Schizosaccharomyces pombe: one gene and its partner. The protein of the gene in region 2 interacts with the protein of the main gene of each other region in a pairwise test. Each region holds a gene or a part of one and is shown on either strand. Other genes may lie near its edges.

Region 1 (5,548 bases), 890 kb from region 2:
ATCATAATTAAATAGGTAAGTACTAAGCTCAGGTACTTTGAATAGTAAAGTACCCATGACACAAACAAGCATTCCATGTAGATATATATATATATATATAATTTTTTTTTTTTTTAGTAGTTATAACTTATTTATTAACGTGGATGAATCGTTCAAATAAAAAAAAATACCATATAATAATAATGATAATATTACAACGCATAAATAGGCTTGTAAGTCAACAAATCCAATTAAAAATAAATAAATAACAACAAAAATAAAAAAAAAAAAAAATTATAATAAATTTTAGAACGTTATGCTAATTCTCATTCTATCCTCACCCTGTGTACCAGTCCATACTACGTCATCAAATGTAGCAACCTTGTTACTTGATTTTTACTTCTTCTAAGTAGCAGGATTTTAGAACGGGATTTGTTTTTTACTCCTAACCTTTCGTACAGGCCAATTTATTGTCAGACGACTTTTTCAAAGAAAAGACTACTCTATATTTTTTTGTTTCCTGCGTACTTGTAGTTCTTCTACTTAACGAAAATCATGTTTGGTGCCATCTGTGCTGGTCGATTAGGTATGTCGCTTCTCTGGCACTTTCGCACAATTTTTACATTAAACGAAGTTTTTTCACGCTAGAAGTTCAAAAATAAAACTTAAATAAATGTTTTTATTATATACACATAACTAATACACAATCTAGTGCAAACGAATTTGCAACAAGTCGCCGATAATCAATTTGTCTTCCAACTAGACTCTGCGGAAAGCTTGAATCACATTGTGGTTTTTCTTTTGCCAAACTCTCCATTCCCAGTCGGAATGGGTGCTAAGGTTTACTTTCAATGGCCTGGAAAGCCTTTTCAATTTTTAGGTTATTTGACAAACGAAAAGCCTAGTGCAATTTTCCGTTTAAAAAACACCATACAAACTCTTTCGGAAAATGAAAATTGCGTTGGAATTACTGCCATGTTAGGTATTAGTGTAGAGCCTTTGACCAATTTCACAGAAACACCAGCTGTAAGCACTTCAGCATCGAATGTCATCGCCAAACCCTTACCTCCCGTAACTTCTGTTGCCCAAAAAATTTTAACCAACTTATATAATTTCCTAGCAAGCTTTGCGACATCTCAACTTCCTCCCAACTCCATTGGGTTAGGTGACCTGCGGCCCAATGATACATTCATACCACTTCGAGTTTTTCAGGATTGGCATGCAAAATTTTTAAACAAGTTATCAAATAATCCAAACTTTTTAGATTCTGAAGATCAGATTTGACATTTAGGTTGAATGCCGTTTTTGAACCTCATTTTTATTTCCTACGAAAATTACCGACATGGTACATAAAACCATATCTTAATGATGCAGAAAAAATAGAATAGAATACAATGTATGTGTTTTTCTCCAAAAAAAAGTGATGAAACACAAATGCTAGATCTTATTTATAAAAAATCGTATATATTGTATTAATAAAGGATAATTTTATCATCTTCTTTCAACGGCTGAGAGATCTTCAACTCGTAGGATTCCGCAAGCCATACCACTAGCTAACCAACCAGCATAACCTTTGTTTCCATTCCACTCGACTTTGTTCACTTGGATTTGCCATGGATAAATATACATGTCTAGCTTTTTGGCTTTGGGAAGCCTTGGACGAAAACCATCTAACATACGATATGAATCCTGTTTTTCGCTATATTCTAACTGGAATATTCTATGCACATTAGCTTTTTGTTTGTGAGAGAATCCCAAAAGACGGAATGGATTGACGATCGTAACTATTCCATCCGAAGCAGCACACGCTACAAAAGGATGGAACTTGCTGTTTGAGAGAGATATTATTGAGCCGTTTCTTTCATCTAATAACTGTGTCGAAGTGCCTCGTAAAGATTCGATGACCACAGATTGAGATTCGCTACAGGAGATAATCGACTGCAACATGTTGTTCCAAGTGATTGTGTAACAAATATCTGATATTAAGTTAGTTCGGAAGAAGCTATAATAATAATAATCGTACCTCGTTTATGAGAAAGCGGTCTATTATCAATTATGGGATCGCGAATATCAAATATTCGAGTATAACAATCAAATGCAGTGGTCAGAAAAAGCCACGGAAAGTCATCCAGGCACTGTACTACATTATGTATGTAAGAATCATGATATGGGATGTAAAAAAGGGGACATTCCTGGCTGCTCAAAATATCCCACAGAGCTAAATAACCTTATACTTAATTAGTAACAATAATTTAGTTTAACAGGCTTACCGTTAGAGCAGCCGACCAAAATTTGATGTATATCGCCATGTTCTGGGGAAACCCATGTGCAACAAGAAATAAGAGAATCATTAAATCCAAAAGTAAAGTCTGCTTGTTCGACGAATACTAGTTCATGTTAGGAGAATGAAAAAAAAAGATGTTTAATACCATGAAATTTTACTGGTGATCGAGGTACACGAAGAACGCGCAGCTTTCCATCGCTGCAGACAACTGCTAAAAACCCAAGAATGGAATCTTCAACCGAAATTGTGGGGCACCACTCTAGTTGAAGAACACTTCCCCAATCATGGTACAATATAAATTCCGACTTAAAATTGGTTTTGTTTTCTAGTTTCCAAAGTTGAATTTGATTCCGTCCAGAAGTTCGCATAAATACTGATTCAGTAGTTTCTGAAAATTTTAGCATCCCTCCTACAGCTAAAAACTGTGTTTCTTTATTTGTTGGTAACCATGAAACAGACGATAAAGGAATCCCTGTATTCACCACAAACCCCGATTTCTGTGGATTTTCCTTAAAAGGGTTTACCGGTTGACAGGGTTCAACTTGCTGTGGTGATTCAAAATGGAAACTTATGCTTAAATTTTTAACTTCAAACAAATAAAAAGGATTTTCGGAATATGATAATAACTGCTGTCCGTCGAGATTCAGAAGTGTTTGCAACTTGGAATCAGACGACGTCTGACCTTCAAAGGAAGATTGACCAGGAGCAGTCTCATAATATTTCCAAATTTCGATTAGCCTCCTTCCTTTATTTAAAGATTCAACGTGAGTCCCGTAAGAATTTATTAACTTCTCTTCTAAACCTTTTGAACTTTGCTTTTTAGCACTTCCACGAGTAGTACTAGAATTCTGACTCTTCGGTTCATTCCCAGCGCCTTTGGAAGATGAAGGTGTTAAAGGTTGACTTCTAATAGGTTTTGAGGGGGTTCGACGAGTAGTACTTACCCTTTTTCGGTTTCTTGACGGTGTTTCTATTTCTATGTCTTCTTCAGACATAACGTTCTCTAAAACAAAATCGCCGTCATCATCATTATCTTCATCGTTTTTATAAGAGCTTGGATTTTCGTATTCCTTAGATTTAGGGCCCATACGCGTCAATATTCATTAGGAATGGTGGTGAACTTCATCAAAGCAATATTGACCTAATCAAAACCTCGTTTGCAAGTGCTCAAAGAAAATATTTATTTCAAATAATTATTCCACTTTGAAAAAATTAATTTGTTAAAAAATCCCAATTCTTAATTTGTTGCTGTTCGTCTTGGTTCAGCTCAATCCTGCTTTAATTGTGAGTGTGAAACTTAGACTTAACTTCAAACATTTGTTGGTTAATACGAGTCCATGCAGAAACTTCATAAAGAATAAATTTTGCAAATAGTTAAATTTATTTTAAGTATTTAACACATTCAATGAAATTCGATTGCTCTTTTTACCAGCCTATCTCTCCTCATTTTTAGTTCTGTTAACACGATTTTGTCAAAGGAAGTATTTCGGTAATCGAAAAAAATATATATATAGTTATATTGAATCTACTAAACGTTATGTGAAATGTTAGCTCAATTTCACTGGTAAATATGCAACAAATTTCTTTCAATTACTACGGGTTTGCTGAGAGCATTATTCTGACACTATTAAAGGATTATAGGGAATAGTATGTGATGCTACTATTAAATAATTTAATCAGTAGTTCAAACTTAATATTAGGAACCTCCTATAGCAGTTTTTTCTTGATCAAATCTTTAAATTTTGATGCTTGGATTTCATTATTTTCTAATTGTTTGTTTAATTTTAAAAAGAATTATCGTTAGGTACAAACGTCTACGGCCATACCTAGGCGAAAACACCAGTTCCCGTCCGATCACTGCAGTTAAGCGTCTGAGGGCCTCGTTAGTACTATGGTTGGAGACAACATGGGAATCCGGGGTGCTGTAGGCTATTCCTAACTTTTTTATTTTTTGTCTTGAATCTTTTAATAATTTAAAATAGTAGCTCCACAACTGACATTACAAATATTATTTGGATAAGGGATAGTGAGTCCTTGAAATTGAGTTATCACATAACGCAATGGTGCAAGACTACTACATAAGCAGCAATAGTAATATTATGTGGTGTTTGATATATCTCAGCTGTTATACATAACCTGTATAGCAGATACAATTGCCAAGCATTACCATGGCACGCCATTCATAATTCCTCTCAATACTTGTTTAGAAATGATAACTTAACTTCTCCATAATCACTTGCAAGAGATTTTATCTTCGAAAGATTGTTATTGCGTTTAAAAGATCGAAATTAAATTATATAAATATATACAAATGCCAACCAAAAACCGTTTGAACCTTAAATTTTACACAAATAATGTTTATCCTATATTGTGTTCCGTTGAATAATGTTCCATTGCTTTTCTGTGCATCAAAGCAGCAATGTCTTTCGATGATTTACTTTTACCTTTATCAACCGAACCACCCTGCTTTCTTGGCTTTGAAGAATTTGCACCAGATATTTTGCCCGGCGCTTCTCGCAAAGCGAAGGACTTAGCAATATGTCCCAAATGAAGGTCACGCATGTTAAAAATACTTCTTTCTGATGAAAGATGTGTTGCATAAGCCCTCACATAAGAAGTAAAAGCCCTTTTTGCAATATTCCTCATAGGTTCATTTTCTAATATAAAACGCTCCAATTCCAACTGCCATTCTGTTGCACGATCTTGCCAATCATTGGTGTTTGTTTTACCTTGCGAAAAACCAGCACTCAACAACCCAGATGGACCATTAGGCTGCTCCAATATATTAGCGCTAACTGAAGACTTTAACAAATTAATATATTCACTTTCCTTCGGGAGTAAAAACATAATAGCTGCACCATTGTGTCCAGCCCTAGCTGTTCTGCCAATTCTATGCAAATAATCGTCGGTACTAAACGGAGCATCATACTGCACAACCAAATCAACATTTGGCAGATCAAGACCACGGGCTGCCACATCTGTACACAAAAGTATATGTGAACCAGAATCTTCACTTGAAGAAAAAAGATTCAGCGTCGAAGTCCTGATTTGTTGAGACAAGGAACCGTGTAATCGGTATACATTTGATTTGCCATCTATTCTCAGAGCTGGAGCATTTGAAATGATATCACCCTCAGAGTCCGGTTTCTCTTTCACGGCCTCTTCCATTTCATCAGCGTTTATCGCACATCTAAAAGCTTCAAAGTGAAAATCAACACTATCTGAACAAGAAAGAAAAATTATTATTTTCTTATATGATCTAACATGACTTCGCAATAGGGCAAC
Region 2 (6,311 bases):
TTCTATTTAATTTAAAAATTTTGTATATCTATTAATATTCATACATGGCTAACTTTGGTTCTATTGTAGCACACAACTTTGACTTTTATCAAGTTAAGCAGCAGAATAATTTGGATTTCTATGCTTGCATTAAATTGGTAAATTACATTCGGTCTCAAGTCAAGGAAGGAAAAACACCAGATTTGGACAAACTTTCCGACATTTTACGGTCCGACGAATACATGATTTCTGTACTCCCTGACGACAGTGTACTCTTCTCGCTTGGCGATGAACTCGATTCAGATTTTGAGGACGACAATACTCTCGAAATTGAAGTAGAGAATCCAGCAGATGTTTCTAAAGATGCAGAAATAAAGAAATTAAAGTTACAAAATCAACTTCTTATCTCTCAGCTTGAAGAAATTCGAAAAGATAAAATGAATGAATTGACTAGTCAGACTACAGATCAGCTATCAGTTACCCCAAAGAAAGCAGATAACGATTCTTATTATTTCGAGTCTTACGCTGGAAATGATATTCATTTCCTTATGCTAAACGATTCTGTCCGGACCGAGGGATACCGTGACTTCGTTTATCATAATAAGCATATTTTTGCTGGAAAAACGGTTTTGGATGTAGGATGCGGTACTGGCATTTTATCCATGTTTTGCGCAAAGGCTGGCGCCAAGAAGGTTTATGCTGTGGACAACTCCGATATCATTCAAATGGCTATCTCAAATGCTTTTGAAAATGGTCTTGCTGATCAAATTACTTTTATTCGTGGAAAAATCGAAGATATCAGTTTACCGGTTGGCAAGGTAGATATCATTATTTCGGAATGGATGGGCTATGCTCTAACGTTTGAGAGTATGATTGATTCCGTCCTTGTTGCCAGAGATCGCTTCCTTGCACCTTCTGGAATTATGGCACCGTCCGAGACACGATTGGTACTTACAGCTACCACAAACACTGAATTGTTAGAAGAACCTATTGATTTCTGGAGCGATGTGTATGGTTTCAAAATGAATGGCATGAAGGATGCTTCTTATAAAGGTGTTAGTGTACAAGTCGTTCCTCAAACTTATGTTAACGCCAAGCCTGTTGTTTTTGCAAGGTTTAATATGCATACGTGCAAAGTTCAAGATGTCAGTTTTACTTCCCCCTTCTCTCTAATTATAGACAACGAAGGACCGCTTTGTGCTTTCACTTTATGGTTTGATACGTATTTTACGACTAAGAGAACACAGCCTATTCCAGAAGCTATTGATGAAGCTTGTGGATTTACAACAGGCCCTCAAGGCACTCCTACTCATTGGAAACAATGCGTTTTGTTACTACGTAATCGTCCTTTCCTTCAAAAAGGCACTCGTGTTGAAGGAACTATTTCCTTTTCAAAAAATAAAAAAAACAATCGTGATTTGGACATTTCGGTTCACTGGAATGTAAATGGGAAAGCTGACTCTCAAAGCTACGTGTTGAATTAGGATCAAAGTCTTTACTTAAAAATATAGAATTACTGATTAATGTTACTATGCTGTAGGTTTTTGGATTAGGAATCTTGCTGGGGTTTTAAGGCATTTCCTGTAAAATTATTTCCCCAGAGTGGGAATACGGTGGATCGAAAAAATCATCTAGTCTTAAAATATTCTCTATTTTCTATACTACTAAAAAATAACATTTTTTCAATCTTTTAAATATGGAAATTTGAGTACATAAGGATTAAACTATCAACAACTGCACAATGCTTGGGAAAGATTTTTAACGTGAACTATTATTATCGTTGATTTTTTGTTACGATTTGATTATATTTAAGGGATCTCTAAAAATAATTGTGACTTGAATCATAATTCAGATGACTAGCGTTCAATGGTCGTAGAATTGCAAATAAACATATTTCGTTCCGGAAAATTAAATATGGATATTTATAGCCTTAAAAGATAAATTAAAAATGTAAAAGCTTTAGCATTTTAATGTAATTAAGACGAGCCTTTTCAACAATCCATTCAATAAGTTAACTCATAGCGATTGTTAGCGCGCAGTGTTTGCAGGTAAAAATATAAGGTAAAGAGTTCAGCATTTGCAAAACACCAAACTAGGGCGAAAATGAATCAAAATACACTTTATGTGAATAATTTGAATGATAAAATTAATAAAAATGATTTAAGAACAGCACTATATATGCTATTCTCCACTTATGGGACCGTGGTTGATATTGTCGCGTTGAAAACTCCCAAGATGAGAGGTCAAGCTCATGTTGTATTCTTTGATCCCTCTGCCGCTGCAATTGCGATGAAGGCCTTAAAAAATTTCATATTCTTCGGAAAGGAAATGGTATGCTGTGAAATGAGCTTTCTCATTAATCCCCATAAAAAAACAAAAACGATTGACTAACATCTTTAATAAGAAAATTCAATACGCTCATTCGAAAAGTAAGATTATTGAAAGAATCGTCGCCGAAAATGACAGCAGAGGTCCTTTAAAACGGCTACGTGATGAAGCTGACCTTGAGTAAACTGTACATTTTCTAAAATTCACAATTATCGTTTTATATAGGGTAACTTTTTTCGGGATCCTGTTGGAGTCAAGAGAGTTATAAAGAGTGGTTTTCCTTTTTCTCTCTTTTTGTTCTTCACTGTATATACCTGTTGGTTTTAGTTGTTTCAGGTGTCAGTGTTTGCAGACAGTAAAGCGGACCGATAACACCATCGCATTGTTGCTAAGTTTTATAAGATGAAGCAAAATTCTAGTCCAATATCATCTTGTTTACAGCTATTTTAGTGGATTTTTCATGCAAGTCTTTCTCAACTAGCATTGCGCAAGGCACTGAACTTTAACGCATTTGATGGAATTGTTCACCTGGCTTCAACATCGCTCGTCGTCTTTCTTACAATGGGAAAGGATGTAGCATTGGATTTTCTTCCATCAAGCTTGTATAGCTGTACTTGTTCTTGCGATGGAAAATTGGCTTTTTGCGATTCAGAAAAAGTCCAAATCTTGGTACATATCTCAAATTGACGTGTTCGAGACTAGCTAATTCCCTTCAGGTACCTTCAACTGAAGCCAATACGCCTAAGTTTATGAAGGCGCTAGCCTATTTAGATGATGTGGAAGATGAACTACCAAATTGCCAAATGCTTGCTCGTATGTTCCCAATGCCCTTTGATGCTTATGAGAGTATAAAAGCTAACGTGTTTTACAGCTAATGAGCTTCGTTTAGGAGATCTAACTCCAAGTGTCATAAGCCGCTATGTGGTCTGGTCGCCAACAGGTCTCGCAGACAATTACGAGTATGTTCTTAAAAAGAGAAGACTTGAGTTTGACTTTACTTAACATTCCACTCGGTTTGTGTTTTTGTGCGTAAATATTTCTATTTTTATGAAATTTGTTTCATTTTTTAAAGTTTGTTTATCGTTTCAATGCCTAAAATAAAGTCTTATTCGGTTTTGTTTCTCTATTCTACTTTTTATTTGAACGCTAATCAGCTAGTCCATTGTTAACTGTTTTAACTAATCGTCATCGTGTGTATTTCTTTTCTTCATCTAGTCGCGTTCTCCATCAAAAATGGACTTGCGTGGCACAAATGAGTACTCACTTACCTTCCGATCCTTTGGAACTTTGCCGAATTCATAGCGTTGCATGGTCGCCTTTGGTAAGTCTTCCTTCATCTTCACCTTGGGGCGTGTGTTTGTTTGCACTTGGTGCAGAGTCGGGTCATGTCCATCTCTCTATTATGTCACATTCATCTACCCCATTTTTCAAGTCTTTTGATTTGAATTGCTCATGGGTAGTTCAGTTATCATTCTCCAGCTGGAATGTGGTTGGGGATTCAGCTACCTGTTTGCTATCGTGTTCTTCTCGGAATGGAGAAATCCGAATTTTAAAAATAGCTATTAGCTCTCATTCTGACACTTTTGATACCGCTATGCAAGAGCTACCTTTCTCGTTGGACTATAGACCGTTTTCTCCTCTGCTAGCCTGGTCATCTCCATTAGCCAATGTTGAATACCTTGCGTTAGTTTATCCTGGCCATTTATTTGCATTTCGGTATGACAAGTCATTAGGGAAGTTTTGCTCTTTTTTGAACCATAATCTTTTGTCCCTTTGCTCTCCTTCTGGAGTGTTGTTTGGTCATAACGACATTGATACCATATATGTTTACATCTTGACACATTCTGGAACTTTAGAGACTTTTTCCTTGTTGGATAATTCAATATCGATGTTGGACTCACCAGAGAGACATGTGCTTGAAAAATTTTTGAACAATCACTTGCAAAATTATGGCTCTGTTTCAGATGATTCAATAAAGACCCTTAAAATCCATGGCTTTTGCCCTTCTCCTTACTTATCCTCTGCTGCTCTCCACTTTAGTATATCGTACCCGGCCTCATTTACTTACGTTGTAACAGCAGCTGAACGAAGTTATTTTAATTTCATTCCATCTCTTTTTTCAAAATCCGTTTTTTCACACATGATTACTTCTTCACTTAATAACCTATGTGTAGCACCTTCAGCCGGTTGTTTACTCGAAATTTCTTTAATGAATGACACATTAAAAGAAAAAACGGATATTTTTACAATGCTTACAAATTCCTTATCAAGTTTTTTAGTTACGGATTATGATTTTTTCCTTGAGCTAAAGCATCTTATAGATATATCCTCTCTTTCAAATTTGTATTTAGACTCTTCATTGAATGCAATGAGACTTTTATATGGTTGGAGCGTTTATAAACAAAAAGCATTAGACGCTACTTTACTGAATTCTTTGAGATACCGATTAACCCTATACATTATGTTATATACACTTTCTCAGATATCTCTTGACCCCTCTTATCTAACTAGTGATTGCAAAGCTGTTTTAAGAAACTTTGTATCATTTACTTATAAAGAGTTGGCTGAGGTACCGATTGCAATGGAAGTAGCGAACGAGATAGCAAAAAGCTTGGAAGTTTCCTCAGATTTTAGTGAAACTTGCCCAGCATGTGAAGCTACAGTTCAATTCAATAATACATCATTAGCTACATGTGATAATGGACACGTCTGGAGACGTTGCTCAGTCACCATGCTACTTTTATCTCAAAAAGCTGCGAAATATTGTGCTGTGTGCAACAGTATAGTGGCCATTTTTAACCCTAGCCAAACCAAATGCTTACTTGCAGATCTTCAAAATGAGCTTTCTATTTGCTTCTATTGCGGTGGACATTTCTTGGTTTCGTAATATTCCATCCATTTATCAAAAATATTTTATAACATATCCGGTGAAACATTATTTTCTTTTGTTACGTGTGTAAATAATATTTATTATTTTTTTTGACAATCAAAACCCTTCTTAAATATTTCTCACTACATAAATCAGGAGTAGTACATAGGAAAATCCATTATATTATAAAATAATAAACAAAACGTAGGAGTCGAGATACATTCCTAAGACTACAAATTTTGAGAAAGAATACTTCTGCTGAAGTTGAACTATTTCTATAGCCTAAGAAGACTGAGAAGGAAGGTAGCTCCTTGCACGTCTTGTTCTTCGGAAGCAATTATGTTTGACTCGTCAGCACCAGTTTCCTTTTCGATGGGTCTTCTCAATACCTTCGAAAATAAGGCTTCATTGGAATCTACAGCAGATTCGAGACCAATAGTATCGTTTTTTATTTTATAAGTCATACGAACATCGTCCGTAACTTGTAAATTGCTCTTCTTGCGCAAACGTTGAACACGGTTGATAACTTCGCGAGCCAAACCTTCAGCTTGCAACTGAGCATCGATCTCTATATCTAATAAAACAATACAGATGCCATCAGTGTTCGATTTCAAAAACTCGTTCTTAACCTCCACAGAACGAATAATTTGTAAATCTCCCTCGACAAGTTCGATACCATCCAAAACCATTTTCTTGTTCTTCTGAAACTCTTTAACTTCCTCAGAAGTAACATTTGGTAGAGCCTTCTTAACACGAGCCATATCTTTGCGAAGCTTCTTACCCAAAACAGGCCAATCTGCTTGAACGCTGTATACGACTCCATACTTCTCTTCATTGGAGGTGAAAACTACTTCACGGACGTTAAGCTCCTCTGCAATATATCTTTCTAAGAGCTTAGCATCTTCCAAGTATTCTTCGTTAGTGAGAATAACAATAAGGGTTTTTAAGGGAGTCTTCAAAGAAATATTATTCTGCTCACGAACATAACGCGCCAATTCGATAATAGTTTGCATACGCTTAACACGGCGTAAAACAGTTTCATCATCAAGCTCAGACTTGTAAGTAGGGAAAGGAAGGAAATGAACTGAACGAAGTGAAATTTCATTTTTGTCAATAGGCATGTAGTTTCTAAGGT

Evidence for each region.
Region 1: the proteins of sfc9 (region 2) and sfc6 interact in a two-hybrid assay, tested with the Schizosaccharomyces pombe proteins (one study listed by BioGRID).

What each region holds. Positions count from the first base shown.
Region 1 is NC_003423.3:2,260,017-2,265,564, reverse strand, and holds sfc6 (transcription factor TFIIIC subunit Sfc6), read right to left. Parts: upstream 3,381-5,548; 5' UTR 3,352-3,380; coding exon 2,409-3,351; exon of another isoform or gene 2,367-2,408; coding exon 2,250-2,366; intron 2,207-2,249; coding exon 2,003-2,206; intron 1,956-2,002; coding exon 1,471-1,955; 3' UTR 1,401-1,470; downstream 1-1,400. Other genes in the region: hikeshi family nuclear import carrier Opi10, read left to right, coding at 535-565, 692-1,263; ATP-dependent RNA helicase Dbp7, read right to left, coding at 4,622-5,548. UniProt on the Schizosaccharomyces pombe protein: TFIIIC mediates tRNA and 5S RNA gene activation by binding to intragenic promoter elements.
Region 2 is NC_003423.3:1,371,493-1,377,803, reverse strand, and holds sfc9 (transcription factor TFIIIC complex subunit Sfc9), read left to right. Parts: upstream 1-2,837; 5' UTR 2,838-2,868; coding exon 2,869-2,976; exon of another isoform or gene 2,977-3,023; coding exon 3,024-3,120; exon of another isoform or gene 3,121-3,160; intron 3,161-3,178; coding exon 3,179-3,266; intron 3,267-3,406; exon of another isoform or gene 3,407-3,465; coding exon 3,466-5,194; 3' UTR 5,195-5,316; downstream 5,317-6,311. Other genes in the region: ribosomal protein arginine N-methyltransferase Rmt3, read left to right, coding at 70-1,463; U2 snRNP-associated protein Msl1, read left to right, coding at 2,083-2,310, 2,384-2,491; isoleucine--tRNA(Ile) ligase Irs1, read right to left, coding at 5,452-6,311.